3 linked regions of the Caenorhabditis elegans genome follow. The protein of the gene in region 1 interacts with the protein of each later gene in a pairwise test. Each region holds a gene or a part of one and is shown in the gene's direction. Other genes may lie near its edges.

Evidence for each region.
Region 2: the proteins of famh-161 (region 1) and C17E4.2 interact in a two-hybrid assay, tested with the Caenorhabditis elegans proteins (one large-scale study listed by BioGRID).
Region 3: the proteins of famh-161 (region 1) and cut-5 interact in a two-hybrid assay, tested with the Caenorhabditis elegans proteins (one large-scale study listed by BioGRID).

Annotation. Positions count from the first base shown.
Region 1 is NC_003283.11:20,527,390-20,538,939, reverse strand, and holds famh-161 (Protein fam-161), read left to right. Parts: upstream 1-4,767; 5' UTR 4,768-4,898; intron 4,899-5,386; 5' UTR 5,387-5,452; coding exon 5,453-5,527; intron 5,528-5,571; coding exon 5,572-6,605; intron 6,606-6,682; coding exon 6,683-6,948; intron 6,949-7,155; coding exon 7,156-7,295; intron 7,296-7,439; coding exon 7,440-7,562; intron 7,563-7,821; coding exon 7,822-8,180; intron 8,181-8,420; coding exon 8,421-8,480; intron 8,481-8,529; coding exon 8,530-8,917; 3' UTR 8,918-9,244; downstream 9,245-11,550. Other genes in the region: Y38H6C.16 (EXPERA domain-containing protein), read left to right, coding at 847-849, 1,003-1,147, 1,356-1,471, 1,857-2,110, 2,378-2,432; Y38H6C.15 (uncharacterized protein), read left to right, coding at 2,716-2,775, 2,958-3,137, 3,191-3,382, 4,014-4,139; Y38H6C.13 (F-box domain-containing protein), read right to left, coding at 10,476-10,553, 10,603-10,684, 10,986-11,065.
Region 2 is NC_003279.8:9,406,198-9,414,035, forward strand, and holds C17E4.2 (Cilia- and flagella-associated protein 157), read left to right. Parts: upstream 1-6,108; 5' UTR 6,109-6,116; coding exon 6,117-6,701; intron 6,702-6,748; coding exon 6,749-6,841; 3' UTR 6,842-7,025; downstream 7,026-7,838. Other genes in the region: C17E4.1 (DUF7774 domain-containing protein), read right to left, coding at 2,159-2,236, 2,290-2,646, 2,723-2,962, 3,005-3,238, 3,390-3,507, 3,603-3,704, 3,749-3,897; C17E4.19 (uncharacterized protein), read left to right, coding at 4,417-4,869, 5,055-5,168.
Region 3 is NC_003284.9:10,330,489-10,341,717, reverse strand, and holds cut-5 (Cuticlin-5), read left to right. Parts: upstream 1-3,528; coding exon 3,529-3,567; intron 3,568-3,813; coding exon 3,814-4,095; intron 4,096-4,549; exon of another isoform or gene 4,550-4,678; coding exon of another isoform or gene 4,679-4,962; intron 4,963-5,017; coding exon of another isoform or gene 5,018-5,152; intron 5,153-5,196; coding exon of another isoform or gene 5,197-5,275; exon of another isoform or gene 5,276-5,280; intron 5,281-6,137; coding exon 6,138-6,280; exon of another isoform or gene 6,281-6,374; coding exon 6,375-6,489; intron 6,490-6,581; coding exon 6,582-6,697; intron 6,698-6,746; coding exon 6,747-6,906; intron 6,907-7,030; coding exon 7,031-7,130; intron 7,131-7,177; coding exon 7,178-7,263; intron 7,264-7,557; coding exon 7,558-7,704; 3' UTR 7,705-7,860; downstream 7,861-11,229. Other genes in the region: R07E3.1 (Pept_C1 domain-containing protein), read left to right, coding at 622-644, 697-798, 846-911, 959-1,054, 1,102-1,587, 1,666-1,844, 2,000-2,076, 2,168-2,347; idpa-3 (Glycine Rich Secreted Protein), read right to left, coding at 4,679-4,962, 5,018-5,152, 5,197-5,275; R07E3.4 (ADP/ATP translocase), read left to right, coding at 9,845-9,970, 10,040-10,117, 10,166-10,313, 10,362-10,539, 10,586-10,843, 10,892-11,000. UniProt on the Caenorhabditis elegans protein: Plays a role in alae formation in L1 and dauer stage larvae.

The DNA of each region.
Region 1 (11,550 bases):
ATTTCAAAAATTTTTCGAAGGTCTGTAATTTTTTTGGAAAATTCGGAACTTTTTTGGAAGTTTAGGATTTTCCAAAGAATTTAAAGGTGGTGGAGCCAAATTTTTTATTGCTTAAATTTGATTGAAAACACCGAATTTCACAATAAAACTTCTAGAAAAGTTCTCAAAAAAATTTATGGCGGCTCAAAAAATGACCTAAAATTAGTTAAAATTCGAAATTTGACCCTATTTGTCAATGCCGCAGCGGCTGGAAATTTTTTTTTTGAAATTACCGCTTAATTTTGAATATACTAAACAATTAGTTTCCAGCCGTTGCGATATTGACAAGTCGGTTAAATTTCGAATTTAAACTAATTTTAAATCATTTTTTGAGCCGCTGTAACGTTTTTTTGAGAAGTTTTCACGAACTTTCATTATGAAATTCGGTGGTTTCAGACAATTTTGAGTCTTACAAAGCAATTAAAAAAATGCGACTGCACCTCCTTTATTATCCAACAACTCTAAAAGTTTTCCAAAAAATTTTGAAAATTTTGGAAATTCTAGAAATAAAAAAATTTTGGAAATTAGGTAGTAAAGTCAGAATTTAACTGTTTTATCAATATTCTAAAATTATGGTTAAAGCTGTTTTTTTTTACTTTTTATCTCCCAATTCCAATCACTTTTTGACCTTTTCCTATCAACTTGTGATCTCATCGTGATTTGTGCTCTTTTGAAAAACTGACTAATTGTGCAAATAATCCTTGATTTTTTGCTATTTGTGTGTAATAAAAGAAATTATTTTCAGGGTGGAAAATACTATTTTTTGGAATTTTCCTATTTCTTACCATAATCAAATTGGCAAGCAGTATGGTGAGTTTAAAAAAGTTTTGATTTTTTTGTTAGAAATCTTTTTTTTTCAATTCTGAGAAATTCAGAGAATTTTTAGGAAGTGTTTATTTTTACAAATATAACAATTTACAAATCTGATTTTTTTAAAAATTAACTAAACATTCTTATTTTTAGCCCCGACCACCAGTTTTGCCGCCATGGGTTGCCACGTGGCTATTGGTATCCGGAGTCATCTGCCTAGTTGACGTCATCTACACAATGTTCCGCCCGTACACAAATGCTCCGGATGGTTTTGTGTCAAATACCTTGTTCTATGGATGTAAGTTGTTTAAGTTAAAATTATGAATGACGCCTGCCTAGGTGCCTACCGAAGTGCCTATTTCCATTGTGATTTTTTTTGAAATTTTTTCTAATATATTACCTAAAATTCCAACTTTTCCTATTTTTAAATTTTTGAAAAACAGGAGTGTTAGTTTCACACTCAAATTCTAATTTACAGCTCAATATTTTATTTAAAAAAACTTCAGGGAAGCTCTACTCATCTGTGGATATTCGATATGCTGATACCAAGGATGTGGTCACTTGCTCCACGGGAAGAGTTATGCTCATTGAAATTACTCTGAACTTTTTAGCTGTATATTTGGTAATGTTTTTTTTAGAAAAATAATTAAAAATTAACAATACAAATTTTTAAAAAATTGAAAAAAATCTGAAAACAATTTTAAAGAAACTCTAACATACTCGAGTTTTGAAATTTTTTTTAATTCTGAAAATTGTTATTCTCAAGCCTTGTTAGGAAAATTTTGAAACGTTTATGAAATTCTGAAATTTTCAATAATGTTGGAAGTATTTCTAAAATTTAATTTTTTTTAAATTCTAAAACTTTGATCATCTGGAAATTTATGAAACTCTAAAAATTACTATACTTCTAAAACTTTTGAAATTCTGAAAAAAAAATGAACAACTCATATTTTTACAATATTTAAAAGGGGTCCAGGCCATTTTTTAAAATTTCCCTCAAACTTCAGGCTCTGAAACGTTCCCGTCACGCCTTGCTCCTGGCTTTCACAACAAGTGCATTCGTATTCTGGAAGACATTCTGGTACCTTGTAATGTACATAAACCCACCACCAGGAACCCCATCATTCTTCACTGATAACTACGGATATTTGGGTATTACACTGATTTTCTGGATTCCAAACGGCGTTTGGGTTGTCATGCCATTTTTGGCAATGTGCTCACTGTGGAATAAACTCGCGTTGCCCGTCGAGTATCAAGAGCAGTGAGTTTTTTGAAATGAATCATAAAATGTAGTTTGTAGTCTTTTTGCCAAATAATCTCCTACCAAATGTTTTTTTTTAATTCTTCAAGTTTTAGAAAATCTGAATAATCTGATAAATTTTCGCAATTCCGAAAATTATAAAAAGCATTTGAAAACCTTTGAAATTCTGAATACAATTGAAATTCTAACAATTAAAAAACCATTCCTATTTCATGGAAGAACCTATTCAGTCAATTTTGAATTTAAAACTTTTTTTTAATTTTTCAGAGAAAACAACAATTACGAGAAGCCGCCCGGATTATCTACACTCTCCTCGCCATAATAATTTATTGCCTTTTTTTGAACGTTTTTTTTTTGAAGGTTCCAAAAAAAGTTATTTATTAAACGTGATATCCTTTTTTGAAAAATTTAATAATTTAATTTCAAAACTTTGAATTTGCTAAAGAAGTTAGCAATTCAAAAACGTGACCCACTGCTTCATATATTTTTCTTCAAAAAAAAAAGAGTTGCCAACAAAAAATCGATTATTACTTCGATTTCCTGTAGCCGAATTCCAACAAGAAACAAGCAGCAATTGTTGGGTTGTTTTGCGAAGATTTTCGAAAATGGATTATATTCAATTGATGTTCATCTCGATCACTTTTTCAATTGGATTTCTTATTATGGTGAGTTATTCGAGTCAAAATGTGCTTAAACTTTGGTCTAAATCAAAGCTCAGGTAAAGCCTAAGCCTGAGCTTGGGTCTGGTTCTGGGTCTGGGCCTAAGCCTAACCCTAACACTAAGCCAAAACCTAAGCCTAAACCTAAGCCTGCTAAGCCGGACTCTGCCTGAAATTGACTTTTCCAGATTTGTGCCGGCAAAAAGAAGCAAAAGTCAACAAAGCCTGTGGTTGAATCAACCTCGGCTTCAAGTTCTGTCAAAAATGGTGCCAATGCTGCTCCAGACTGCCCAGTTCCACCACCGGGGCTTAGATCAGTCGGCAAGGACACTCAGGACCCGAATATGCCGCCAAACAAGGAAGACAAGGTTACCAATTGCCCAACAAGAAAATTAAAACAAATCAAAGTCTGAATTTTCAGAAACCAGAGTCCAAAAAGTCAGCGGAAAAGCTTTCGAAAAAATCGGACAAAACCAAGAAAAAGACGACAGTATCGAGTGAGGATAAGCCTGAAAAACCGGAAAAATTGACCGAAGAGGAGAAGCCGAAGGAAAAGGAAAAAGCGAAGGAGAAGACTGTTCCAGTTCAATCGAAGCTTCGCGAGGGCGACAAGGTAAGCTGAGAATTTTTGGAAAATTGGGCTTATATGAGGTCGCCGCAACGACGCCGGCGCCGGACTCACTCATGCCGCATGTATCCGTATGTATAGTGCGGCGCGGAACTGGGAATGTGGCTACCGCTTTTTTTCAAATAACAATCTTTTCTCACTACATTGAGTACACACCAAACGACTCGTTTCATTTACTAGCGTGCTCATTTACTTGAAATCCCTAACAATGGCTCAATCCCTTTGACGCTCATTTACTAATGTTTTCGCCACAAAACGTCATAAAGGTTGGATGGTAAAATTGTAAACATACCAACTATGCTGATATATCAGCATACTTGGTACATCGTTAATGTTACTTACATCCATTTCTCTGTTAGTAAGGAGATGTTATCTGTTATCTGGCTTGCACAAAACAAATTGGACAAAAGAGAGATGTCCACAAAGCGACGCCGACTCCTAAAAAAATCAGGGAGACAATACCGCGGTCTGCGTATCTCCACAGGCTCACCTGCTAGATGGCAATCAACCAGCGTTCAAGTAAATGAAAACACTAGTAAATGAGGGCTTGCCTGAGCATAGTTTTCCGGTCAAATTAAACATCTTAAACCTTCATAACTTAGCGTTGAATTTTCAGAACGCGGTTGTCACAGATCCTATTGTCACACCTGAAACGGACGAGTACCCCACACTTGAAGAGGATGGCGATAAGAAGACGGAGAAAAAGACTTTCAAGAAGGATAAGACTGATAAAAAGAAGTAGACTAGTATGTGGAATAAATGATTTTTGATATTAAAAATAAAATTTCTTTGACGAAAAATGTTCTCCTCGACATTTTATTGGTTTTCAACTTTTTTCTATTTTCCGGCAAATTGGCAAATCTCGAAATTGCCGGAATTTGCTGGAATAACGGCAATTGCCGAAAATTTTCGGAAAATTGTTGTTTTGCACTTTTTTTTGTAAATTCCAGTTTCATTGGCAAACCGAAAAATCGGCAAACCGGAAAATTGCCGGAATTGAAAATTTTCGGCAATTAAACAAACCGGCTAATTGCCAAAATTGAACATTTCCGGCAAATCGGCAAACCGGCAATTTGCCGATTTGCCGAATTTGTCGACGAAAAAATTGCCGCTCGCCCCTGTTGTCGACCTACATAGGTCTGGATACCTACAAAGTTCCCACTAGTAGTACTAATAAAAGGGGAGGTAGAAGATGAGATTAACGATTTCCTGAATTCCATCTCAAGCTGTCTCGCGTTAATTATGCACCACACCCTACCCTTTTATTTCGTAATCTCTCCCTCCGAGCCACCCATCTTCACCAACAACTACTACCACCTGCCGTACGTTTCCATAACAACCTGGGCCTCACTCCTGTCAAACTCTTTTTCTCGGATTGCTCTCTCTCTCCCGCTTTTTGTGTTCTACTCAATTTTGAGAACACATTTATTTCGGAAAATAATATTTCTGAAGACATGCTCTAGAAGTTTTTGACGGCAGTAGTAGTAGTCGTATATTTCCTGTAAGTTTTTGAATTTGTATGTTTTTTTTTGTTGCTGGTTTCAAACAATTTTTGTTTTCAAACGTATTTATTTTAAAAATACGCATGTAAATTTCCTGCAAAATCTTTTTTGTCAAAAATTAAAAATTTATCTTCAAGATATATGTTTTGTATTGAAAAATTTGAATTCAAATTTCTCTTTGGAAAAATTTCAGCAAATTTGTGTTCCGTAGTGACGTTAAAAGTTGTTAAAATGCAAATTTTTTCAAAAAAATTTAAAATTTTCCATTTTAATTTCCTTCATACATTTTTTGGAAATTATTTGACTTTTGCGCCAAAATTTATTAGTATTATAGGCTTACAATTAGGATTAGGCTTAGGTTTTTCACCAGAGGAAATTATTGAAAAATAAAAAAAAACAACGTAGAACAAATTTCACCAAATTTTGAATCTTTGTTGAAACTACCACAATTTGAAATAAAACAAACTCATTAAAAAAATGGTTCCAGATTTCCCCATGGAAAATCCACAACTTTCGTATATTTCCTAGCATTTCCTTCCTAATATTCCACAAAATGGCTCCACCGAAAGATCCACCAGTGCTGAGGAATCTACAAGCCACAGCGGACTTGCTAGACGCTCTTCAAAATGTAAGTTCAGCTTCTCTTACAGTACCTCAAAAAATTCGTTCCAGGACCCATCATTACTCAACGATGAGGAGTTCATCAAGCGTCTCTCAATTTTGCGTCAAAAACACGAGGAGACCACCAACTTCCTTGCCAAGAAGCTCGGCGCCCCACCGTTGCCAACTATGATGACGTCATCAGAAATTACACAGCATAGGTCGAGCTATAAGGTGACAAAATCTTCGAGTTGTCATTTTCAAGATGAAGCTTCTCCTTCTGACTATCAAATGCCACGTCATCTAGATCTGAAACCGAGATCTTCAGAAGTGAGAGTCCCTGTTCGGGCCGCACCGGAGCCTCCGAGGGAGCAGTCTTGGAGTCAAACTGAGTATGCCACGTTGGCTCACAATCAAAGCCACGAGGCACTTTATGAGGATCCACGTCATCAGGTTCATGCTACATCATCCCATCAGAATCCACGTCATCAAAGCTCTCGGCACCACAATATCGAATCTACAGCACCATCACAGGTCTCTGTTACGTCATCAGTCCAAAGTGTAGCGGCTTTATCTGGCCAAAATCCTCGTCAGCAGGTTCATGCTACGCCATCCCATCAAATTCCACGTCATCAAAGCTCTAGAACCCACCAAAATTCACGTCAACAGGTTCCGAGTGCTACATCATCAACTCTCCAAAATCCACGTCATCGAACATCCAGCGCGTCACGTCATCATTCGACAAGAAATGCCACGTCAGCAACAGTCCGGCAAATTTTGGCAAACGCATCGACCCGGCACCTCAGCTCCGCACCACACATCGCCACTTCCGTCGCCATGCCATCAGGGTTACTGTTATCTTCTAGTAATACGAAACACGTGGCATCTTCTAAGTCAGAAAATCCACAATTTGCCACGTCATCACACGTTGTTGAGGAGAGTTTTTTAGAGGACGGAATGTCAACGACACGGGAAGTTCCAACAATTCGGGATGAAGTTGTAGCGGGCGACTTAAAGCTTTCTAAGAATCGATCCAAGTCTATGCATCAGCTATCAAAGTATACACCACAGGTTACCGTACCGAAGCCGTTTCAGTTGAGCTTGAGGTAAGTAGCTTACAAGGGAAGTATTTCAACTTAGTTGCGGACTTCTGGATGTAACCTAAACTATAATTTTTTTTCAGAAAATCCACTGGAAATACTTACGCAAAAAAGTTCATGAGCGGCCTAATTACGGAAAAGCAAAAACTTGAGGAGGACGCCAAGAAAGCATTGGAAAACACAAAATTTCGGGCAAAACCTGTCCCCAAATCAACATATCAGCCTACAAATACATTTGCGACGGAGCAAAAATACGTAGAAGCCATGAGGAAAAAGGTGGCGGCGAAGGCTCGGAGGAAGTTTGAAGTTCAGAATGAAATGGTCCGATCGAAGAGTGAAGGAAATTTGGGTATGGTTTTTACATTGAAACTAGGATTTCTTGCAAAGTTTTAGGAAAACTGTTTTTTTTGTTGGAATAAACCGGAAAAATTACTAGCTTTTCTCATAGTCAGCTATTTAAATTTTAAAGGAACATTATGAAATTGATTATTGCCTACCGCAAATTAAATGTTGAATTCAAATTCAAAAAAAAATACCATTCCAAATTTTTTTACAGCTTCAATAAAACCTCTCGGGTACGTACCTCCATCAACATATATCTCACCAATTCCAGTGAAACCAAATGCCAGAAGCCGCAGTGCAACTATGAGAGCGACTATTCTTATTCAAGAAGCTACTACTCCAAAGGGAATTAAGGTAAACAAAATTAGAAATTTTGAACAATTAATAATTTTATTTAGAAACAAAAATTAAAAAAATTTAATGTTTTGGTTTAGAAATTTAGTTTTGTTTCATCTATATTCATCTACAAATTCGTTGTCAGAATATTCAACATTCCAGAGCCACCGAGCCCAGTCAAACCTAACCCATCACCTACGTCACGGGCGGTGCACTATGGACGCCTCCGCCGTCTCACTACACCGGCGGACTTCGCCACCGGATTTTGAGAAAATCCATGCAAAAGTGAGTCTAAAAATTAGTTATTTAAAAAAAAGTTGAGTGAAATTTTAAATTTTGGTAAAGTTTCAGAAAACCCAAATAAGTAGTTCTTTTTTGTTATTTCGTTTTTTTTGGAGCATAAAAACTATGTATTTTGCAAATTCTATGGATGCATGCTAATTTTCTACGTGGCACGATATTGCCTGGTAGGCACGTATTGGGGCTCAGAGTAGGCGTAGGCCGCCTTGAAGACAAATAGGTGATTATATAATTTTTTTTCCAGATCACCGATAACTTTCGTAACACAAATTCAAAACCCTCCACTGTGCCGATACCTTTCAAATTCGCATCCAGAAGTAAATCAGCAACTTCGAGACACGGAAATTGTCAAGAACAGGCTCCAAAACCATTCAAAAAATCGACTGAAAACTTGCCGAAAACCTCGAAAAATCGAGTGCCCAGCACTCACGCAACACAACTTCGCGAGGAGCTCAACCGAGCAAAAATTGAGCTGAAAAAGTCTGAAAAATCGGGAAAAAACGGGAATTTCTGGGCTGAAGATAATAAGCAGAGGATTTCCTCGTTTTTGGGAGCACGGAGCAAAACTGAGGAGGATATTGCGATGAGGACAAAGCAGAAACTGTAAGACTTGTTATTTTTAAAAAATATTATCAAAATTTGAAAATCGTTGAGGTTTGTCAAATTCAGCAAAAAAAACATTTTTCCAGAAAACGGGCAGACGCATAACCGGTCACTCCCTCAAAATGGTTTGAATTTCAAAAAAAAAAGAGAGAGACACAGACAGCGTGTCGCTCTGCCTGTCTGCGTCTCTTTTTCTCATGTTCTTTTTTTTTAATGTTAAAACAGTTTCCTGATTTTCAGGCAACAACAGCAGGAAACAACTCAAGAATACATGAGGCAGCTGGCCGAGATGAAGCAGAGGTTAGTTTGATAATTTTCGGAAGTTTTGAAAACCTTCCAAAAATTTCAGAGTGCTCAACGGCCCGCTAATCATGGAAAAACAGACGGCCCTGGCGCAGGAGCACCGTCTAAAACGAAAATTTGAGGAACGCATGAAAAGCGCCAAGGGGCGAGGTATAGAAAGGGTCCAAAGCCAGGAAAAGCAGCAATCAATCGGGAGAAGAAGCTCAGAAGTTAGTGGAAGTGGAACTTTTGTGGTTGACAAGGGTTATGAAGAGAGTTTTGAGTCGGAAGACAAGTCTGAAAAGTCTGGAAGTTCCACGCCATCTGAGTCTGGAAGTGGTTCTGAATCCGAGAATGAATCCAGGTCATCAAGAAGCTCAAAGCCAAAAAGTTCAAAATCAACGTCTTCAAAATCTTCAAGCTCACGATCCACTTCATCTTCCTCGGAAGCTTAAATGCTTGTTATTTTCTTTCAATTGACTAGGCTTTTAGCAGTTTTTATTTCAAAGAGTTTCAGCATTTTCCAAAAAATCGAAATTTTGTAAGACTTTTTTTCCGTTTGACCGCTCCTTTTTTGGTTCTTAACTCAAATTAGGTGCTTTTTTTTAATTTCTTGGGTAAAATTTTCGAAATTTGTTTTTTAATATAAAATGATTTATTGTAAAATGCTGGAGTTTCAGTTTTTCTTGAGTAATTTTAAGATGTGATTTCTTTGCGATTTATGAACAAATTGGTGATTTTTATTCAGTTTTATTTTTTAATAAATTCTCCATAAAATTAAAGTTCATTTTTGAAGTCCACCAAAATTGTTTACAATTTTTTAATTCATAATTTTAAAAAATGTTGAATTTCACGCCAGATCTCGAAGAATTAATGATATTAAACTTTTATAGAAGTTACGATTAATTTGATTCAAACATTATGTGAAGTGGAAACTATAAAGAAACTATGTATCAAATTATATATATGAAATTAATATTAAATTCTTATTTTTAAACGTTTTAAATGAAAGATTGACAAAAATTAATTGGAAAAATCATGACTGGAAAATAAGTTGATCCCTCTGGCAAATCACGCCGGCAATGTAGGTTGGCAAAAGTTCGCAGATGAACACTTTTTCCGGAATGTCAGTGTCGAACATTTGTAATTCCTTGTCTGGGAACTCACTGAAAATTTGATATCAATGATTTTATTTTAAAGCCAAAAAGATTCACTAACGAAATGTCGTATTCCCAGTCGGGAACATGCTGGAACTTCCTGAATTGCGGCTGCACATCATATAGCTGCATAATTCCATCGATGTCCATTTCCACAATTGTTCTAAATTTAAAGACGCTTCCAACTGGCTTCCAACCATGAGCTTTATAATGCTGTAAAACAATAAATAATGCTTTCTCACAGGTCGATCTGAAAGTTTTTCAGTCCATTTCTTTCCAAAATATGTGGTAAAGCAAATAAGTTTTAGTCATTTTTTTGCAAAGTCTCTGACGAGCCAAACTCGTGAGCTGAGATACTTTCCTTGGAATACAATAAACTTTCTTACCTTGAGCTGTGACCAAGCAAAACCTGGTGAACAACCGCGAAACAAATATTGATCTGATATAAACGGTGTCGTCCATTTTAGGTGGAGTTCATACAACTTTGGCACAGTCGATATAATCGTTTGGTCCGGCACACCTTGGAACGCCAATTTATAAATTTTGATGTAGTCTTCCTCTCGAAGATTTCTTAGAAATAGCTGGCTTGGGTGGTTATTTCTAAAAATAGTCATAAGCTTTGCAACTCTCCGCCATGAGAACTTCCGCTCTTCACTGCAATCCAGGTGAACTTCCTTCACCCAGATCTTGATTTCTCGTTTCTGAATTTCAGCAACCAGAAGATCAAAAATTGATCGATTTGTGGATTGATAGAAAAGCTGAAGATCCAGTCGTTGAACGGTGGAGTTTTTGTTTTCAAAAACTCGGCAGAAATTTTGAATTGAAAACTTCTCGAATCCAAATCTACTGTTAGTTCTTAGGTCGACAATGTTTTTGAATGGAATTTTATCCACCGCCAAGCTGATGTAGTGTTGTCTGAATGCTTCATCAGATTCTGAAAACACTTTTTAAAAAATAATGTACAGCGTTCAAAGCCTACTTACAACAAATTCCAGGTTATCGAGGTGAGTTGGCAGTTTATCGACGAGCCTCATTTCTTGAGATGCACACAGACGAGTGTTATATCTGGAAAATAAAAAATTTGCGGGCAAGATGAAACAACTAGTTATCAAAGAATTAGGCATGAAGGTAGGCTAGGTAGGCATCGAATTTCAAAATGATACTGCACAAAAAATTTCCAAATATTTTTTATGGTGGGTCGAAATTGCGAAAGAGCCAAACTTTGCTAAAATCTGAAATTATGCCCATTTTTCTTTGTCGCAGCCAATGGAGTTTTGAAAACATTTTAGGCATTTTTTGTGAAGTCTCACTATGAACTTTTGTGATTGTGGACCTGTTTTAGTCTATTTCAACATATAAAAAATACCTGTCAGCAAATCCCATGTTTTTTATAACTTCTCTTTTGAGTTCTTCAGGCAATCTTGGCCAGTATTCGAAGGATTCCATGACGTTATTATTTAGACGGATGAATTGAAAAAAATTTGAGCACGCAGACAAAAAACTGAAAATTATGCCCTTCTACTTCAGTTTCGTGTGTGAGTTATCTCACGCCCTTTTGTTCTCCTAGCAACCTCATCTGTCCAGTGTTGTTTTAATTTCTCAGTTATCTCTGCGTCTTTCATCTAATATATTCATTGAAGTTCGAAAAAGGAGTTGTGTAGTATGTGAAAAAAATAAATAAATTTTTGGATGTTTCAGATGTTTCCTTGACAACCCGTGATGCTTGAGCCCAAAGCTGGAGATGCCTCCTCCTAGTTCCAGTAATTGCAGGAAAGGCATCGGAGAACCTTCGTAGTAGAAAAAATTACAGAGTTCGTCATAACAGAGGCCTCACCAAGAAAGCACCCTTTCTTAGACTAGTCTAGTTCCAAAAATTCCAGTTAAAGTATTTAATTTACAGTAAACTCCCTGTATACACGTGGTGTCCGAGT
Region 2 (7,838 bases), on another chromosome or scaffold:
GTCAAAAACAAAATATTATATTTCAAAAACGATTCTAAAAGTAAATATTTTTAGATAGAGTGATGCGAATATTGTTGAAAAAACGTTGAAATTTTAAATTGAAACAAAAGTTTACACTTTTACACTTACTATACACTTTTAAAGACTAAAATAATCTGTGAAAATGCAGATATATAACCAAAAGAAGGGACTAAAAGTTATGCATTTGTAGTTATTTGTTTGTTGTTTGTTGTTGACAACATTGGGAAAAATAGAAAAAGTGAGGGGATGGGAAAATGGAAGATAGAAAACATCCAAATGTTCAGTGTAATGGAAGAGAACGGGTTTCTTTCACACAAAATATACGGATACAATTATTTAGAACTCAGAGAAATTATGGGTACAAAATTGGTATTTTTTGAATTTAAAGTGGCACAGTGTGAACTTCATTTTGCAGAGAAAGTAATGAAGCGGTACGGGGGGTAGACCAATTTATTTGTAAGAAATTAAGACCAGCAGTTATGGAGCAGTTTTAGAGCAATTTTGGAGCGGTTCTGGAGCGGTTTTGAAGCGGCTTTGGAGCGGGTTTGAAGCGCACACCTTAACCATCGAACGCTGCTAGTCCTTAATTTCGCACAAAAAATAGTCTACCCCTGCCCCACTTGAATTACTTGCCTGCTCAATTAACATTTCAGTTCTAGATCCTGCCACTAACCCAACGCCCCCTTCTGCAGTGCTCTTTTCTGATCACTTGTCAGTAGAATATAAAATACCTTTCATTCCTTCCAATTCAAATGAAACATTCCTGTAACGCTCCTATAAGACTACAAAAAATGCGATGTCACTCGACACAGGGCCCTCACCAATTGTTGTTTTGGGTGCAAGACGGATTTTTGATTGGCTCGTAATGGAGCAATACTAATAGAGGAAATGAGGTAAATGGTTTCCAGAATTTTCAAACAGTTTATAAGAATTTTGAAATCAAAGTTCAATTAGATCATTGTGAATCTGGAGGAGGTACACGACATGTCATATTTGCCCAAGTCGGATCCAATTGATCTTCATCATCCAGTGAAGGTTTATTCCAAGCGTAGTAGAATAGGTCGCTTCGAACAATGAGAAGAGCCATTGTCGAAAACTTCGACTGAAACTTTATATTTTCAGAAATCAACGTTAAAATTATCTTCTTACCTTTTTCTCGTCAACTGCAAACATTCTCAACTGTCCAGGAATTGAAACGTTCCGAATAAACTCATTTTTCGATGTAACCTTCTCAAGAATTGACACAGCAATAGCCTCGAAAATTGGTTCCACTTTGTCCTTATGATCGTTGGATCTACAGTAACCTCGAAGAATCTCTTGATCTTCTTTTGATACTTCTTTCGAGATCAATGGTTCCATTTTGACAAGCTGGAGGACTCTTGCACTAAAATAAATCGATTCTCCAATTGGTTCACCATCGTTGTCTAGAGTTTTCTCGTTTGCTTTCAGAACCTTGCATTTCTTCCATCCAGAGTTCTTTTTCAAATCTTTTATCTTTTCTACAGTGTGGCCCATAATTATGGGCCACCCTGTAGAACATCCAACATCCGTTGATCTCCGGTAAGCACTGAAATTTTCAGAATAGTTGAAGGTTTGAAAAATTTGGTTAGGTAAAGTTAATGTGCCATTGTGAATATACTTTTCTTCAAAATTTGAAAATGCATTTGTGGAGCGGACGAGATGAGCGACCGAAGATTTGTAGCGGGCCTAAACTTACCAACAGGATCCACGTCAATTTTCCATATCATCTTATTTTCATCCTTCTCAAGTGGCGCCGGAGATACGGGACCTTCAATTTCTTCGAATACACTTCCCATCATTGATTGTCTCATTTCTTTCGGAACTTCTTTCGGAACTTCTTTCGGGACTTCTTTCTTTTCTTGCTTCTGTCTTTCACTAACCCTTAAAATTTCAGATTTGTTTCAAAAGTGTTTCATGAATTTACTTTGACGGAAGCTTCTTCACTTTACCAGTCGTTTCACTTCTAACACTGAGTGCTGAATATTGTTGATTTGTACTTTTTTCCTTTTGGTGTAAGACCAGAAGCCTTGTTAAGGACAACATTTGCCAAGGATAGTTCTAGAGTTGAAAAGAAAACAAACAAATAAGCTTTCAAAAAAAAAAAATTTATTGAATTCTAACATCCAAGCTGAGTGCTATAAACCGATGGAGACCCGGTTCCTTTCTTGATTGACATTCCAGACCAAGTTCCGTCCTGAAAAATCAAATGATATTAATAGACAAACCACTTCCAATTTTGGCACTTACAATAGTGTTCTCCACTTCCTTGTTACGTTTTTCCCACGCGAAATAAGTAAGATCTTTGCGAACCATCATCAACGCCATCATTGGAATTTTTGCCTTCTTTTCATCCACTGCAAACATCCTCAACTCTCCTGGAATCATAACTTGCCGAATAAATTCATTTTTCTGGACGACTGTATTCAAAACAGCGGATGCAATCTTTTCAATGCAAATCTCGGCATTTTCCTCATGATCGCCACAACGGCAGAATGCACGAAGATTAATTTGATCGGGTTTGGAAATTTCTTTTGAAATTAACGATTCTAGTTTGACTACTTCCAAAACCCGAGCACACATTATGATCATTTCTTCTGAAAAATTCTGAAAAAAGACGGTTTGTCATCCCTAATTGAACCTTCACAGTAAATTAAAACCACGATTGAAAAAAAAAACTAACGGGCTCCGGTTCGTCGTCAGTGGTGGTGGTTGTAGTCGTACTTGTATCCTTCTCATTTTCTTTCGAAAATTTACATTTCCGAGCTTTAATTCTCGTTCGTAAAATGGAGGCCTTCTCGATAATTTCTGTCATCCTCTGATCTCCCTTGACATCAACCACTTCCACGTCAATTTTCCAACGCATTTTATTTTTTATTCCTTTTGAACCAGTTTGTACTGGGGCTGATGGACCTTCTATTTCCTGAAAAAAAACTATAACAATATTCTCTCCATTTTTCAGTACCTCAAAGGCGCTACCGTCTAGCACCTCTTTCTTTGACTCTTCTTTTAATGCTTTCTTCTTTTCAAATACAGATGGTGGTGCATTTTTCTGAACATCAGCTTGCGGAACTCCCAAATCACTTTTCACTTTTTCATATTTCTTCTCTTCTCGTTTCGTTTCAACTTGATTTTTCCGATTTGCAGAAGGTCGTTTCACGATTTTTTGTTGCTCAATTTCAGTTGTGCTCTTCTGGTTCTAGAATTAATTTTTAAAAATGAGAAAATTATTGATTTTTTAGTTTTTCGTGAAAAAAGGCTCCCGTGTAGGCACCAAAAGGCCTGCCTGCCTCATCTTAAGGTGACCTCTGCTAGCCTCGTGCCTTATTTTAAAATACTTCTGTCGTTACCGTCTTCGTCTTTGACTTTTCGAGCACTGGAGACACGGGAGCCGCACTTGGGGATGGAGTTTTTGCTGTTTCTGCTGTTTCTGGTTCCTTTCGACTATCTGGTGATTTGGTACGACCACTGCAAAGTTTCAATTATAAAATCGAGCGAAACCATCATTACAGTACCGTGACATTTTCGCGTAAAATGTAATGCCTCAAGTTAATGCATCTCACCTTACGCTGAAATCGACTGATCTACTCGCGCGGGAACTCACGTCAAGAATTTCACCCATTTTGGAAGCTTTGTCTTTGATTTTGGTTTGTCCATTTTTTAATCTGAAAATACTTTTTTTCAATGATCATGTCTGAAAGAAACTCACTTCAAAACAATGTAATGCGTAAATAAGTTTTGTCCGTTTTGTAGCGACTTTATAAAAATAGGAATAAATGCATTGAACAAGAATACTCTTCGATAAAAAAAAGAGGTTCGTGGAGAATGGAATTCACGTTCACTTTTTGATAAAAACATTCTTTATTGTGGAGTATTAATTTTTTGGTGTTTAGAGGCATGTTAGATACCTTCAGGCCTACGTGTATGCCCACCAACGCCCTATTTGTTTGCGTTGGGGAGTGAAATTAATGATAGCGCAAAATATAGTTTCAGGGTAATTGAAAGGCGTTCTTGAATATAAAATAAGGTAGATTAAATTAAGCAATTCTAGGATTTTGTTTTCGTACCTTGCACATATTAATTGCAAAGCTTCGAACACCTGGGACCCTAAACCTAATAGTATAATTACTGTTTTTGGTTTACTCCAAGAAAATTGATTTTCTCCCGACATCTGCTCATATTAATCCTTTTGGCACCGAGAGCTCATTTCTTCTCATTAATGGTCTCTGTTAGGAACAAAGATTAATTTTGTCTTCTTTTCTTCTGATTTCAAAAGTTTAAATACAACTTTCTTTTAACTTTTCAAAAGCAATTTTCCGGCTTCTCACTTTTTAACCCATTATTTGCATAACACAGAATCTTTAACATTTTTCAGACATGGCTTCCGAGTGTAAATCTTGCGAAAATCTCGTGGATCATATTAAGGAAGAGATGTTTCACATTGAGGAGCTAAGAAGTGAAATTGAACAACTTGAACAATATATTCGGAATCTTCAAATCAACTTTGAGAAAATTCAAACTGAAAATGAAATTTTGAAGACACAGTTGGAAGAAAAAGAAACGGAAGCTGAGGAAAGTCAACGACTTCTTGATGTAATCCATAAAGATCGTGATGAATGTATTGAAGAAAAAATGAAAGTTTCAAGATTTTATCGAAATGAAATCAAGAAGGTTATAGAAGAAAATGAAGCTCTACGCAAAGAAAACAATAATTTAAAAGATACATATAACAATGAAAATATCGCAAAGATCGGGAAAAATTTGGATAAATTACAAGAAGTTAAGACAGACATTTGCAAAAATAAAATCAAATTGAAAGAGGTTGACAGTGTAAGTTGGTTTTTGTTGTAAATAGAAATTCTATCGATAGATATTCTGGAGTTTGCCATGAAACTTTTATAGTGCCTAATTTTGGAAATTTGTCGAACGGAAGAGATATCGTAAGCAACGGCGTCTTCCATCTTCGTTGCAAATTTTTTATTTTCAAATTCCTCTATTCAATTGTTTCATTTCAGATCACAACGAATGCATCCGTAACTATAAAAAATCAGAAGATTGAATTATGTGAAATGGAGAAGAATGAGGATGAACTGTTTGAAACCTTCGAGTATATCGAGATAGACCAGTAGCATGGAATTCAAAGTTATTCGTTTTGAATTGCTAAATTCAATTTTTTTATTCAATTGTTATCAGAAGCTGTATAAATTAAAGAATTTATGATAGTTTAAAATAAGAACTGATGGCACGAGGAGAATATCATTATGACATGTCTTAAATTCAACTATTTAAATTTATTCATATTTATATTATATGTAATTCACCTAACTCTTGAATTTGATACCACATAGTTAATCAAAAAGTATATACATCTACCTATTTCAATTGTATTCGATTGTGGACAATATCGTATGACTTCCATACTGTCGAAAATGCCTACTTGGTCTTACCCGTTGTTTCACAACAGGTCTCTTTCAAGATGATGTTCCATGTCGTACTGAAAACTGATTCAATTTTTATTTTCCAGCAAAATATAAAAGTTCATGAAGCCCCAAAAAAGTCACTGATTGTCATTTATGGACAAACAATACATAACTTATGCCTTTGATTAGTTAAATTTTTATTTTGCTCGAGATACTCCCCCTTCAGATGTTTTTCCATTTTATAAATTGTATTAATCCCAGTAATTTACTATCACTCAATACTCTTTTTTTTTACAAGATATTGGTTCTTCTATTGCCCTTCTATTGCCCAATTGGCTCAAATGGCTCCTCAATACAAGGTCAGCTCATCGATTTCAGACAAATAACACAGTACAATTAGCACCTGGAGGCAGACAATGGAAGATAATACTTCCCAAAAGAAAGCTGACTTTTGGGAAAGGGGAGTACGGTAAGACAATGTTGAAACGCCTAGAAACCCGCTGGAATTATAGATATTTATTATTGTCTGAGAAGGACAGCTGTTTTTTCTCCAAGGTAGGCCTAAGGCCCGATTCTCCAAGATAATTGCTCCTGTTTTGTTTGAATTTCGTCCTTCACCGTACATAGTTTTTTTTCAAAATTAAGTTTCGTTTCCAGATGAATCCCAAAATCTCTGTCTACGAAAATTCCTCCAACACTTTGGAGCTGACCCAACTAAAAGCAGAAAACGAATTTCTGAAGCATGAGCTCGTGGAGCAACGAAACATTTTCGAGTCAATGCTCGGAAAAGAAAAGTTTGACTTGACTTTGGAGATCATGCTTTTGAAGAATCAGGTCGAGGAATCGTTCAAGGAAAAGAAGATGATTTTGGCTTTTTTTGATGAAAAGGACAGCGAGAAGGAGCAAATGGTTTTGAAATTTACCAGAGAAATTGATGAGCTCAAGGAAATCATCGAAGACAGTGTTTCGGATAAATTGGACTACAATGAAGAGACAAAAGCATGTCATTCGGAAATTGAAAGACTTGAAGATGAATTGAAAAACCGCAAGAGGGATCTTAGACGAAGTGCACGAGAAATGAAAGCAATGGAATCTCAAAAAGATTATTTGATGACAGAGTGTGTACAGCAAAAGCAGGCGATGAAACGATTGGAATCTAAAAATCAAAAGCTTTTGGATCATATGACAGCAACTAGTGAAGGATATCAAAGATTGTCAAGAAACAATGAAAATCTTCTGAAGGTTAGTTCTTGCGATCTTGTCATTTTCAATATTAAGTCAACTTTCAGACGAATGCATTGTTGAATGAAATGATCGGCAGATTCATGGCTCGAGATCAACGACAAGTTCAGGAAGAGGAAACTAGTGTTCTGAAAAAGTGATTTCTGAAGAACGTTCACAACAGCTTGCTCATCGCCCTTCATCGACTGTCAGACCAACTTCCTTTTGTAGTTTTCTAGTTCTTCCATCTCCCTGTAACTCCATCGATCATTCATGTCATCTCATCATTGTAATAATTCAATTTTCTAGAAATCCCTTTCCAGATAAATAAATGAATTAAACCGTATTTTATTGTGTATCTGAAAATGTCGAAACAAGCAGAACGTCATGTGCATTTCGATATCTAACGACTTTGATCTGCCTATTGTTGCAGGTGTTTTTTAAGAGCACCTAGATAACCAATAGGCCCACTACTCGATCGACAGAGTCAATAAAACGTATTGCAGTGGGAACAATTCTAAGAGGTCATTCACATTGTCCCCCAATCGGTGCTAACTATATATTTCAACTGCTACGTATAGCAGTAAAGAACATCGCCTTAATTTTTATCTATCATACACTGGCAGCCTGCCAAAAATGTTTTTTGGAAAATGATTAACCAAAACTTTGACTGAATTTTTTTTCAAAAATCTAAAACAAGTGTAAAGAGGCTAAATTTCTACTGAAAAGCGTTAATTCTTCTCTTCTTTTCTCCTTTTGTCTCTCCTGGAGAGCGTAAATACATAAAAAATTAATTTGAATTAATTTTTTCATTAAGGAAACCAACATCCTATACGACTGTATTCTTATTCCTGAAAAATTCACTGTCTCATCAAAAAAACCACAACTCTCAACCTCTTATCTTATCATTCTTGTTATCTGACTAGCTGCCATCGAATATTGTTCTAGTTGGGATCTCAGGTGTTCACTCGCGATAAATATGATATGATAAGTTGTGATATGTATTGTCGGACAGTGAATCTCTATAAAAATTCCGCATTGAATTTTAAAAACAACATAATTTGGCTAATACTGCACCTGTACAGCGAGATTTTTCAGAGTAATTACTAGTTATGCATAGGAAAATACTGTATCCTGCAAAATTCCGAGGTTCCATTT
Region 3 (11,229 bases), on another chromosome or scaffold:
GGGTTTTCTGGAAATTACATATTCAATTCCTTTCTGAAGAATGAAACTTTAGTTACAGACCAATTCTATGATACTGAAATGACCACATATCACAATAAAAAATTTTCGAGCCAAAAAAGCGGATAAACTCAATTTTGACCTACTTTCGGAAAGTGTTGAATCAAAAAAATGTTTTATGTTTTAATTACGTTCGAAATTGTCATATTACGACATTTTAGTGGTTCAAAGTCTGAATATGCGACAGTGCTCTGGATATCTCTAAATGGGGCGCAAGTCCCCGCTCTTTGATTTGAAATTTAAAAAATTACTCAATTTTCCATAAAACTTATCATGATATTCAGCAATTCTCAACAAAACTATTCGAATATTTTTATAGGTGAAAAATAATTGTATTTTTTTCAATTATGATTTCTTCTCACTAGTTTTGATGTTTTTGTTCAATATTTACAACAATCATAAGATGACAGAAACAAAATGTTCCAGAAAAAACTAACACAAGTTGTTCTATGCCCGAGCTTCGTCTCTTCATGACCCATATAATCATTTTAGATTCATTGATAATGAAGAGACACAAATTACTGATAACTGAGTTGCCAGTTTTCCTTGCTCGCTCGCTTGACAATGGTTGCAATCTCTCTGTTTAAGTGAGTTTTTGATTTTTTCAAATATCAATTTCATAAAATTGTTTGATTGCAGGCCAGAAGACGAAAAAGCTCCAATTAGCCATGTAGAACATCATCCTCTTGCAGGAAATCATTGCTCAGAACATGCATGCAGAGAACAAAAACGATTCAATCTGTAAGCTTTTTCAAAAATGTTATAATCAATAATTTTTCTTGTTACAGACAGAAAAGACACTTGGTACTTTTTACCATTTGGCTAATGTTTATTATTTTTGTTGTGCCTCTGTTGTAAGTTCCTCACAGGTTTGTAACGTATTAATTAGGATTGATTATAGTACAAAACTTCAAGCGGAAAAAGTGAGTCGTAGAGCACATACCAACGAAAGAGGGATTCAAAATATTGCCAAAGAGTACATTGCTTACACCGAGAAGTAAGAATACCCTGAATAGTTTTAATTTAAAACTAGTATCATTTCAGATTCGACAAAAGCTATGCCACCAGTCAAGAGTCATTGAAACGATTAAATGCATATTACAACACCGATGAAAACATTGCCAATTGGAACATCCAAAATGAACATGGATCAGCTGAATATGGTCACAACGACATGTCGGACTGGACAGATGAGGAATTCGAGAAGACCCTTCTACCAAAATCGTTCTACAAAAGACTCCACAAAGAGGCTGAATTCATCGAGCCAATTCCAGAATCCTTGACAGCGAAGAAGGGAGAAAGCAGCTCCCCATTCCCAGACTTTTTCGACTGGAGAGACAAAAATGTTATCACCCCTGTCAAGGCACAAGGTCAGTGTGGAAGTTGCTGGGCCTTCGCTTCTACCGCCACTGTCGAGGCAGCATGGGCTATCGCACACGGTGAGAAGAGAAACTTGTCGGAGCAGACCCTTCTTGATTGCGACTTGGTTGATAACGCATGCGACGGAGGAGACGAGGACAAGGCATTCAGGTTTGTATTGAAAATTAAGAGAGTACGAGAGCCAAAATTTATGAGATAATTCTTGAGTTCCAATAATCAATTTTTCAGATACATTCATCGCAATGGACTTGCAAATGCAGTCGATCTTCCATATGTAGCTCATCGCCAAAATGGTTGTGCAGTCAACGATCACTGGAATACAACCAGAATTAAGGCAGCTTACTTCCTTCATCATGACGAGGATTCTATCATTAACTGGCTAGTGAATTTCGGGCCTGTGAATATTGGTAAGATAGATAATTGCGTGTTTTCGTATTTTTTATGTCTGTGATAGAATAAGTAAGTCAAAAATTAAAAAAAAAAAAGGACTTGTAATATTTTTTTTTCTGCACACATAATGTAGATGTCCATAATAATATCTGAAAAAAAAACAATATTCCAGGAATGGCGGTTATTCAGCCTATGAGAGCATACAAAGGAGGAGTTTTCACACCATCCGAATATGCATGCAAGAACGAGGTATACTACTTTTTCTTTGTCTTTTTTCTTATCAGAATATTATACAATTTTTCATTCTATAGAATTTACTAATCAGTATGCAACTTGATAGGTAATCGGACTGCATGCACTTCTCATCACTGGTTACGGAACAAGCAAGACTGGTGAAAAATACTGGATTGTGAAGAACAGTTGGGGAAACACTTGGGGAGTTGAACATGGTTACATCTACTTTGCACGTGGTATCAATGCGTGCGGAATTGAAGACGAGCCAATTGGAATTCTTGCTTAATTTGTGGTTTAATTCTTAACATTTCCCTTGTTAGTTTTTGAGTGTTGTTTGTATCTGAAAATTCGTTTTCTCGCAAAATTCCCTTTTACTCTGATCGCGTTTTTTTCTTGCGTTTTTCTCTTATGATGAATCTTCTTCAGTTGCCATATTACAATTTACTGTAACTGGAAAAAAGGTGCTAGAAAAAAAAATGCTCTAACGCATCCATTATGCGAAACTTGGCACATCAAACTCGATACAATGTTAGACTCTCAACTGGGGTTTCAGCTGAATTATTGTATTGGCTATGAATTCAACCGAATTTTAGTTCTTAGATACCTGTGGTGCTATAAGTTTTAAAATAGCCGAGGGATTAATGACTATGTATCGGAGCCAGAATTTTAATAGTACTTTATTGACAACTGCTTTAGTCTTAATGGGTTAGTTATGCAGACGGTTCCTACACGCCACATCTCACTGATGTTCTCTGTAACCCTGATGTAATTTTGTGTTTTATCAAGTAATTTTGTTTTTTATCAATGATTGAGTTTGTGGAATATCCGCACAAACTTTCAGATTCTGTAGATTTGGAATACTAAATAACCCTTGGCATTTCATTCAAATTTAGTGAAACATATACATACGACGTACTCGATGTCGATGGATTACTTTTAAAAAACGCAGAAATTATTTCATCCAATCAATTTCATAACAGTTTCCTATTTCCGTTCGTCAAGACTATCGGGGCAGTTGAGGCACTTTCTCAGAGATTGACGCGATAGCGCCTGGTAAATGGAAGGGGAAGGAATAAATAGAATTGAATGGTTTTGATGCATATCTATGCATATTTCGAGAATAATATGCCTTGTTCACTCACCGACTGGATTCCTTGTCTCAACTTCATCCGTTGTTCTTTTCTCCCTTGTTTCCCTTTTCAAGAGCATACAAAGCTTGGTTGACTAACTTGATGTTCTCTTCTCATCAAAAGGCCACTACCACAAACGCTTTTGAGAAAGGATAGTAGATGATGGACATTATAGGAAGTCATCTAGTAGTCGTAACCGAAGCCAATTCATCAGATTTATAGGTGTTTTCTCATCATTTGTTCTGTTTTCTTTTTGGTGATGGTGTTCTTACTAGATTTATTATTATGTGATTAAACTATGCTTTTTTTTAATTTTGTATTTTTCCAGATTTTGTTCATGAATTTTATTCTTGCGGTATTTGCAATAATTCTTTTGGTGAGTTTTATCAACTAATTTGATAGATGAAACTATTTTTTTTTGTTTCTAAATCTCCTGTAAGGAATATATCCTCGTAATATTAAAGTAACAACCCATGTTTTTTTTTCAATATTCAACCATATTTCTAAACTTTGACTTGAATGGGAATTTTTTATTGAAAAAGGTTGGCATTTCAAAATTTCTTTTTTTTTTGTAAAAACATAATTATATAATTCTTAGCATTTATTCAAAACATTTTTTCAGCAAGCCGTCCGGGGTGAAATAGACAATGCAATTGTTGGCGATCCCTCTGTAGAATGTGGAGATGATTTTTTTGAGGTAAACATTTATCATTCATGCTCTTGTGTTGGAAACTTCATTATTAAGGTAAAATTCGATACTCGAACAACTTTCCACGGGCTGGCTTTTGTGCAAAACCATTTGGATAACCCTGATTGTCGAAGTTTTGCATCGAAAACTGATTCTGCAAAAAACAGTAGCTTACGGCTGACATTCGATCAGTGCGCAATTGAAAAAAGACATTCGGTAAGTGAATTCGAGTGGATTTCCGGTTCCTGGTGGTCATGTTTCGAACAGTGGGTTATCTTGATGTCCGATCCCAATAGAAATTTATTAGAGAATCGGAAAAATACAGATACTTTAAAAAATTTTACTTTAAAAATTTACACATTTGTTCCTATTTTTCAAGTTTAAAAAGATTGTTTCACTGTAAAGTTTTATCAAGTTGACTAGAAGCATTGAAAATTTTTTGTCCTCCATATTGTCTATGTATAAATAAACAAAAAAATCTTCAATATACTTAAAAACAAAATATGTGTTATGAAAATAAAATTCGGAAAAAAATTGGAGATCCAGAGAAAATCGAGCAAAAACATTTTGGGGATATCTCCTACCCATAAGTGCCCATAGGAATTTTAAGAGAATCCATTAAAAGTATAATGCAAATTTAATTTTATTCATTGAGCTTTCACATTTTAGAAATAACAAAGCTGTTTATTCACAAAATTCACAAACATGAAATGAAAGCGTGGAATTTACAATACATAGTGGAAATAGTTAGGAAGTTAAATAAGATAATTAGGATAAATCATCAAGTAGACGACATTGTTTAGTTTGGCATTGGTGGCCATCCTCCTTGTCCGCCACCTCCGTAAGGTTGTCCACCATAACCTCCTTGCTGTCCTCCCATTGGTTGTTGTGGTCCTCCTTGGTAGGATCCGTATCCACCACCACCTCCCATGTTTCCTCCTCCCATGTTGCCTCCATAGCCACCACCTCCGTATCCACCATCTCCACCGCCTCCTCCTCCCATTCCGTAGCCGCCTCCCATATCACCACCTCCTCCGTATCCGCCACCTCCGTAGCCACCATATCCGCCGTCACCACCTCCTCCTGTAATAAAACATTTTAAGCAAAGAACAAGACCAAAATATGCAAGTTTACTTACCGTATCCTCCTCCCATGTCTCCGCCACCTCCATAGCCGCCTCCTCCCATGTCACCTCCGCCACCATATCCTCCTCCCATATCACCACCTCCACCGTATCCTCCACCACCATATCCTCCCATGTCACCGCCGCCTCCTGGAATTTTGAGAAAATATAATACAACACAGTTTGAAGCTTACCGTATCCACCACCTCCTCCCCAGTCTTGACCGAGAGCAATGAGAGCGCAAGTTGAGAGAATGAGAACAGAACGACGCATCTAAATTTTTAAACTATACATTCATACCTAGAAGTGTTCATCAAGACTAAACAACAACCACAAATAATAATTGTCAAACTGTGAAAATAGGAAAATGAGATGAATTGATGATGGCATCTTATCAAATGCTCGGCTTATATAATCGGTGAGAAGAGCCGGCTCACGAACGGTCTTAGCGGGGCGGTCGATCATAAAGAACCGGACATTGTTGAGCAAACGATCCGGCAGAATATAGAGGGAGAGAGTGAGAGGTAGGCTTCCACTGTTATTTATCAACATATCAATTGCAATCGGGGAAAATGTGGAGGGAACTGATGAAAAACTGATATGTGGACAACTTTTTGACGGGCGAACTGTTAGTACCGGAATTTAAGCTCCGGTTATGGAGGTGTTAGCTGAAAGATTTTTTGCGAGTGTTCTAGTTTCCCGAAAACTTGTCTTGTAGTTTTAATACATTCTTCAGCTTTCTTAAACAAATTTTTTCATCAAAGACAGACTGCATAGGATCTTAGGATCTTATCTTCAATCACTGAATCTATGGCGTATTCCTATGCACAATAATAATGATATTAGGTACTTGTGTATTACATATATTTTAAAAATTAATTGTTTAACTTATGAAATAAAAACGTGTGGAATGCTTTTGTTCCTAAGCTAACAATTCTTTTGTTCCTTTTGTTCCTAAGCTAACAATTCCTAAGCTTAACGAGAAAAAATGCGTATCACGTTTAATTTTTAAAATGGCGGGGATATAATTCACAAGTTTCTAATATTACACAATAAGTACATTACGTTGCTTCTTGTTGTGATAGGCGTTGAAAAATTAAAAAAAAGCACCAAAAATAATATAAAAACATTTCAGACATCGCCTCGCGGTCTCTTTCTCTCAACAAATGTAGTCGTGGCCTTCAATCCAGAATTCCTTACAAAAAACGATCGCGTGTTCAAGGTGCAATGTTTTTACATGGAAATGGAGCGTCGAATTCAAAAAGTGATTCAGATTTCGTGAGTTGTTAATGTTTAATGTTTTTGTAATTGATACATATTCCTTTCATTTTCAAATTTTTTTTTAATGAATGCATAATTTGATTTTGTTTAGTATGCCTCCACCTACAATGCACTCAAAGCAGCTTAACATGCCAGTCTGTAAATATGAGGTGTTGGATGGATCGCCAACTGGCCCACCTGTTTATTTTGCAACTGTCGGTCAGATGGTCAGTTCTAGAGATGCTGATAAATACAAACAAAAGCACACTACAACAATCATAGATCAAAAAGAAACCAATTTCAATCACCCGGTTTTTAGGTATATCACAAATGGACATGCGACACGGAGCACGAAAACACGTTCTGTATGCTTGTTCACTCGTGTTTCGTTGATGATGGAAACGGTCAAAGAGTACAGCTTTTAAACGACAAAGGGTGTGATATCAATGAATAGAGTCCAATAAGCTCAATCTCTATATTTCAGATGCGCTCTCGACAAATACCTCCTCACAAATCTTGAGTATCCCACAGACCTGATGGCGGGAAGGGAAGCCCACGTATACAAATATGCCGATAGAGATAACATGTATTTTGATTGTCAAATTTCGATCACAGTCAAAGAGCCTGGTCTTGACTATTGTGATGTAAGTTTGAAAAGACGGGAAACCAAAAACGTACAAGGAAGTAAGAAAACCACTGAAACCAAACCATAGAACAGCATACAAACTATAACTTTTGAAAGATTAAAGTGAAAAGTTAACTGTTCAGGTGCCATCATGCCCAGATCCACCGAGAAGAAGAAGATCCAACACACTACCAGCTCCCGACGATAATATTACTGCAATAGCTGCTCATATTGAATATGAAGGTTCTTCAGAAATGGTTTTAATAGAGTTAAGATGAGAATATTTTCAGACTCTGAGATAATAAGCGATTACATCATCCCCAACGATGACATCATCTCGCTGAATTGGTTGCAAAGGAATTTTGATATGAGAATTGTAAGATTGATTCAGAACAATATTTAAAAAAAAAACTTCATTATCAACTAGGAAAATTTGGATAGCCTTATAGGTGTTATGGGAGTTACCTAAAATATATCCGAGTCGTTATCAAATTTTATTGTTTTTTCCCTCAGATTTGGCAACAGAAACTGATAATTGATACAAAAACAGCGAGTTTCATAATGAGAACATAATTATTTAAATGGCAACATGCTTGCGGCAGTGCGAGACACCGTTGAAGCACGTGTTTTAGTAAAACAATTTACCTTTTAGCTAATTAAAATTTTTCAGAGCGAACTTTGCATGACAGCTATTGGGACAACACTTCTCGTTTTCCTCAACGCGTTCTTGTTTATAATCTCCTTGGTTTCTATCGTGCATGTGTGCTGTTTTCGAACGTCCCCAAAACTTGAGAAGACCAAGTCAACAATGTTATAATTTCCGTTATAATCACTTATTTTATTTATTCACACTATTCTACGTTTAATAACTTCTAATATAAGTGCAATGCTACTTCTTTGAGACTCATCTTTGAGTCTTTGAGACTCGCTTCGTTTACTGTATTATTTTTAGATAAATCTTTGGTTTATTTTATCCTTTCTTTTTTTTCTTCTTCTTTTCATACAAGTTTAGATGTCATTGAAAACGTGGTAAATATCATTGAAACGTGCGCAGAAGTAATCAAATAATTGAAACCAGTTTCCAAAATAATGTTTATTTTGTCATGGAGTTGTCATCAAGCTTGATTATTTGATTTTATCACTGCATGTCGGACTTCAAAATGTTCAGATCGTTAACAATTTCGTTGAAATTTGATAAGCTTATCTGAATATGTTTTTGGTAGACTAATCTAAGAAACACTGCTCTTTCTTCTCCATTAATTTCAATTTTGTGCACGTGAAGTAACACGTGAAAACTTCATGGTCGTATAGGTGCCACTATAGTTTCCGAGGATCGAAAATAAATGTCCTCGCAAATGGGAGACAACTGGCTACATCGCTAACACTACACTACACAGTGGCTAAATGTTATTTTAAAAATCACCCCATTGCCAGTTTAGTATAAAAGGTGTCATTAAAATCTAGGGTATTTCCTTATTCAAAGATCGACAATCCTTGTTGGGATATGTCAATCTGTTTACTTCCGGAATTTCCCGAAACGTGACAAAATGGTGATTCCATTAGGCCATTGTGATCACAGTTTCACACGGAAGTTATTCTATTGTGATGAATTTGAATATAAACGTACAGTATCCGGGTAAGCAACATCAGAAACGTTTGAGTGGGTTAGCTCGTCACTAAAAGCCAAATCCCCTAAATTCTTTCATCATATTTTTAAAAATCGTCTTATTTTTTAACTTAAATCAATCGATATGGATAGAAAAACAGTAAGTTTCTATTAACATTTAGGTATAATTTGAACAATTAATAGCTGGTATCCAAAAGGAAAATCTGTCGTGCTTTGGTGGAGGTTGGTGTTAAGGTTGCAATAATTCGGTAGCCCACAAACATTGCTAGTTTAGCCTAATTAATTTTAGAGAGTAGTTATTTAGATAACTTATTTGGTCAAAGTGATGAGCCATGAACTTCACTATTGTGTAGAAACATTATATGTTTTTGTGGACGTAATGTACGATAAGATTATTGGTAACATTTTAGTTAGTTGAGAACAGTTTTTAATGTTCTAGGTTTTTCTACCATACTTTTCAAACACAACTTAAATTTTCAGAAAATGTGGTTTTACACTAATTTTCAACAACTTTTTTGTGTGATTTGGAGAATAAAATTACCAACTTTCATGTTCACAAAAATTTAATAACATTAAGAAGAAGATAATTAAAATTGAGATAAAGCTCTGTTACAACGAACTTCTCAACCCCCGCATCCGCTCTAATTTCTTCTCTCTTGCAATCCGTCCCAATTCAGCTGCCATTCACGTGCTCGGTTCGTGGGGTGTTTCCTCGTCGAAAGCGACCTCCTCACCCCACCATTCTGCACCGCTCTCCTCTTTCTTTCCTATGCTTTCTTGCAAAGTGTCTGCGCAAAACCGTTCTTTTTCGCCTCGTTGTCTTTGTTAGTCATCACTGAGATTTCATCATCCTTGATAATAGTTTGACATTAAAGAAGAAATAGCAATGCCTGATGGTGTGTGGTGTGTTTTGATAGGTTTTGATCGGCTAAAAAACTGAAAATATTTATAGTTCACACGCGTTCGGTTTTTTGAATTCTATTTCTTTTCTTAAATTCATGTAGGTTTCACCACGTGACGCTCTGAACACTAAAGCGGAAATTTGTATCATCGGAAGAGAAGACACTTTACCCAACAGCTGGTGGGGTGATCATCGCAAAAACGCATTTCCTCGATAGTACGTTATCAATCGTCGCCATTTTTCTTGTCTTTCACCATTGACTGCCTATCATACCATTGCCGCATTTTTAAATCAAGTTCATTCGCAGGCTTGACTTTTCTTTTTTTGTCATTTATGACGCAATTGTTTCCCACTTTTAGTAGTGGTACGCTTTTGAATGTATATCACTCAAACATTTTGCAGCTCACCGCTCGTCATCCGCCTAGCGGAATGGCTTCGACGTCTGCCACACTCGATGTTCTGGAGACAAGCAAAAAATGTTTGGCTGGAAGTGCCGCAGCTGCAATTAGCAAGACTACTACAGCACCATTTGATCGTGTCAAGCTCGTTCTTCAGGTATGGAATTTACAATAGAGAGGCTTGTTGAAATACAAAAAAAAATAAATTCATTTTTCAAATTTTCAGCTTCAAAGACAAAGCGAGTTTGCCATGGCTGAGTACAATGGCATTCGGGATTGTATTTCCAAAATCAGACTGGAACAGGTATGGTCAATTCAGCTCTAACAAACCATCATTATTTCTAAGTTACAGGGTGCAATGGCACTGTGGAGAGGAAATGGAGCGGGTGTTGCTAGATGTCTACCAAACCATACTCTCAATTTTGCTTTCCGTGACATTTACAGAAATACACTATTGAAAAATGTTGATCGGAATGAAAGTTTTGGAAAATTTTTGGCTGGTGAGTCAACATGGGTCCTATCAATTTACTGATTTTGAAAATTTTTAGGTACATTTGTTTCGGGTGGTCTTGGTGGAGCAACTACTTTATTCATGCTTTATCCATTTGACTTTGCAAGAACCAGACTGGCGTTAGACGTCAAAAAAGATGGATCCAGAAAATACAAAGGAATGGTAGACTGCCTTAAGAAAATTAAAGCCAGCGAAGGAGTTGCCTCGTGGTATAAGTGAGTGTTCAAAAAGTTAAAACATTATTATTTTGGTTTATTTCAGAGGATTATCATCAGCTCTTCAGTTTGTGATAGCTTCTCGAGCAATTTTCTTTGGAATCTTCGACAGTATCAGAACAAGTGTAGAAGATCCAAAATCCTTAAATTTCGCTGCATGCTGGGCTATTGCTCAAATCTCAATAACAACAAGCGGAATGGTATGCTATCCTTTGGATACAGTACGACGCAGTATGATGATGCAATCGGGTAAACAAATTAAACAATATACGAGTACAAAAGACTGCTGGAAAACGCTTTATAAGTACGTTGTTCAAAAACTCCCGATTTAATTTTATTTTCTGAATTTCAGAAAAGATGGTATCAATGGATTTTATCGCGGTGCCCTGACAAATTCGCTCCGGTCTACAGGTGGAGCTTTGATCATCACTTTCTACTACGAGTTCTCAAAGTACATGTAAAATGGTTACAATAATAAATTTTCGCACTTCTAATCTGGTTTATGAACGTCATTACGATTTAAAATCAATTATTTTCATAAAGTTGTTTGGTTGTTGCGTTAAATAATGGAATTCATTGAAAGGTGGAATAGTGTCAGTAAAGATTTTGTCTGAATAAAATTACAATAAACCAAAATGAATGCAACTGATTTTTATTTTTTTTAATTTTCAATTAATGTTTTGATTAAAT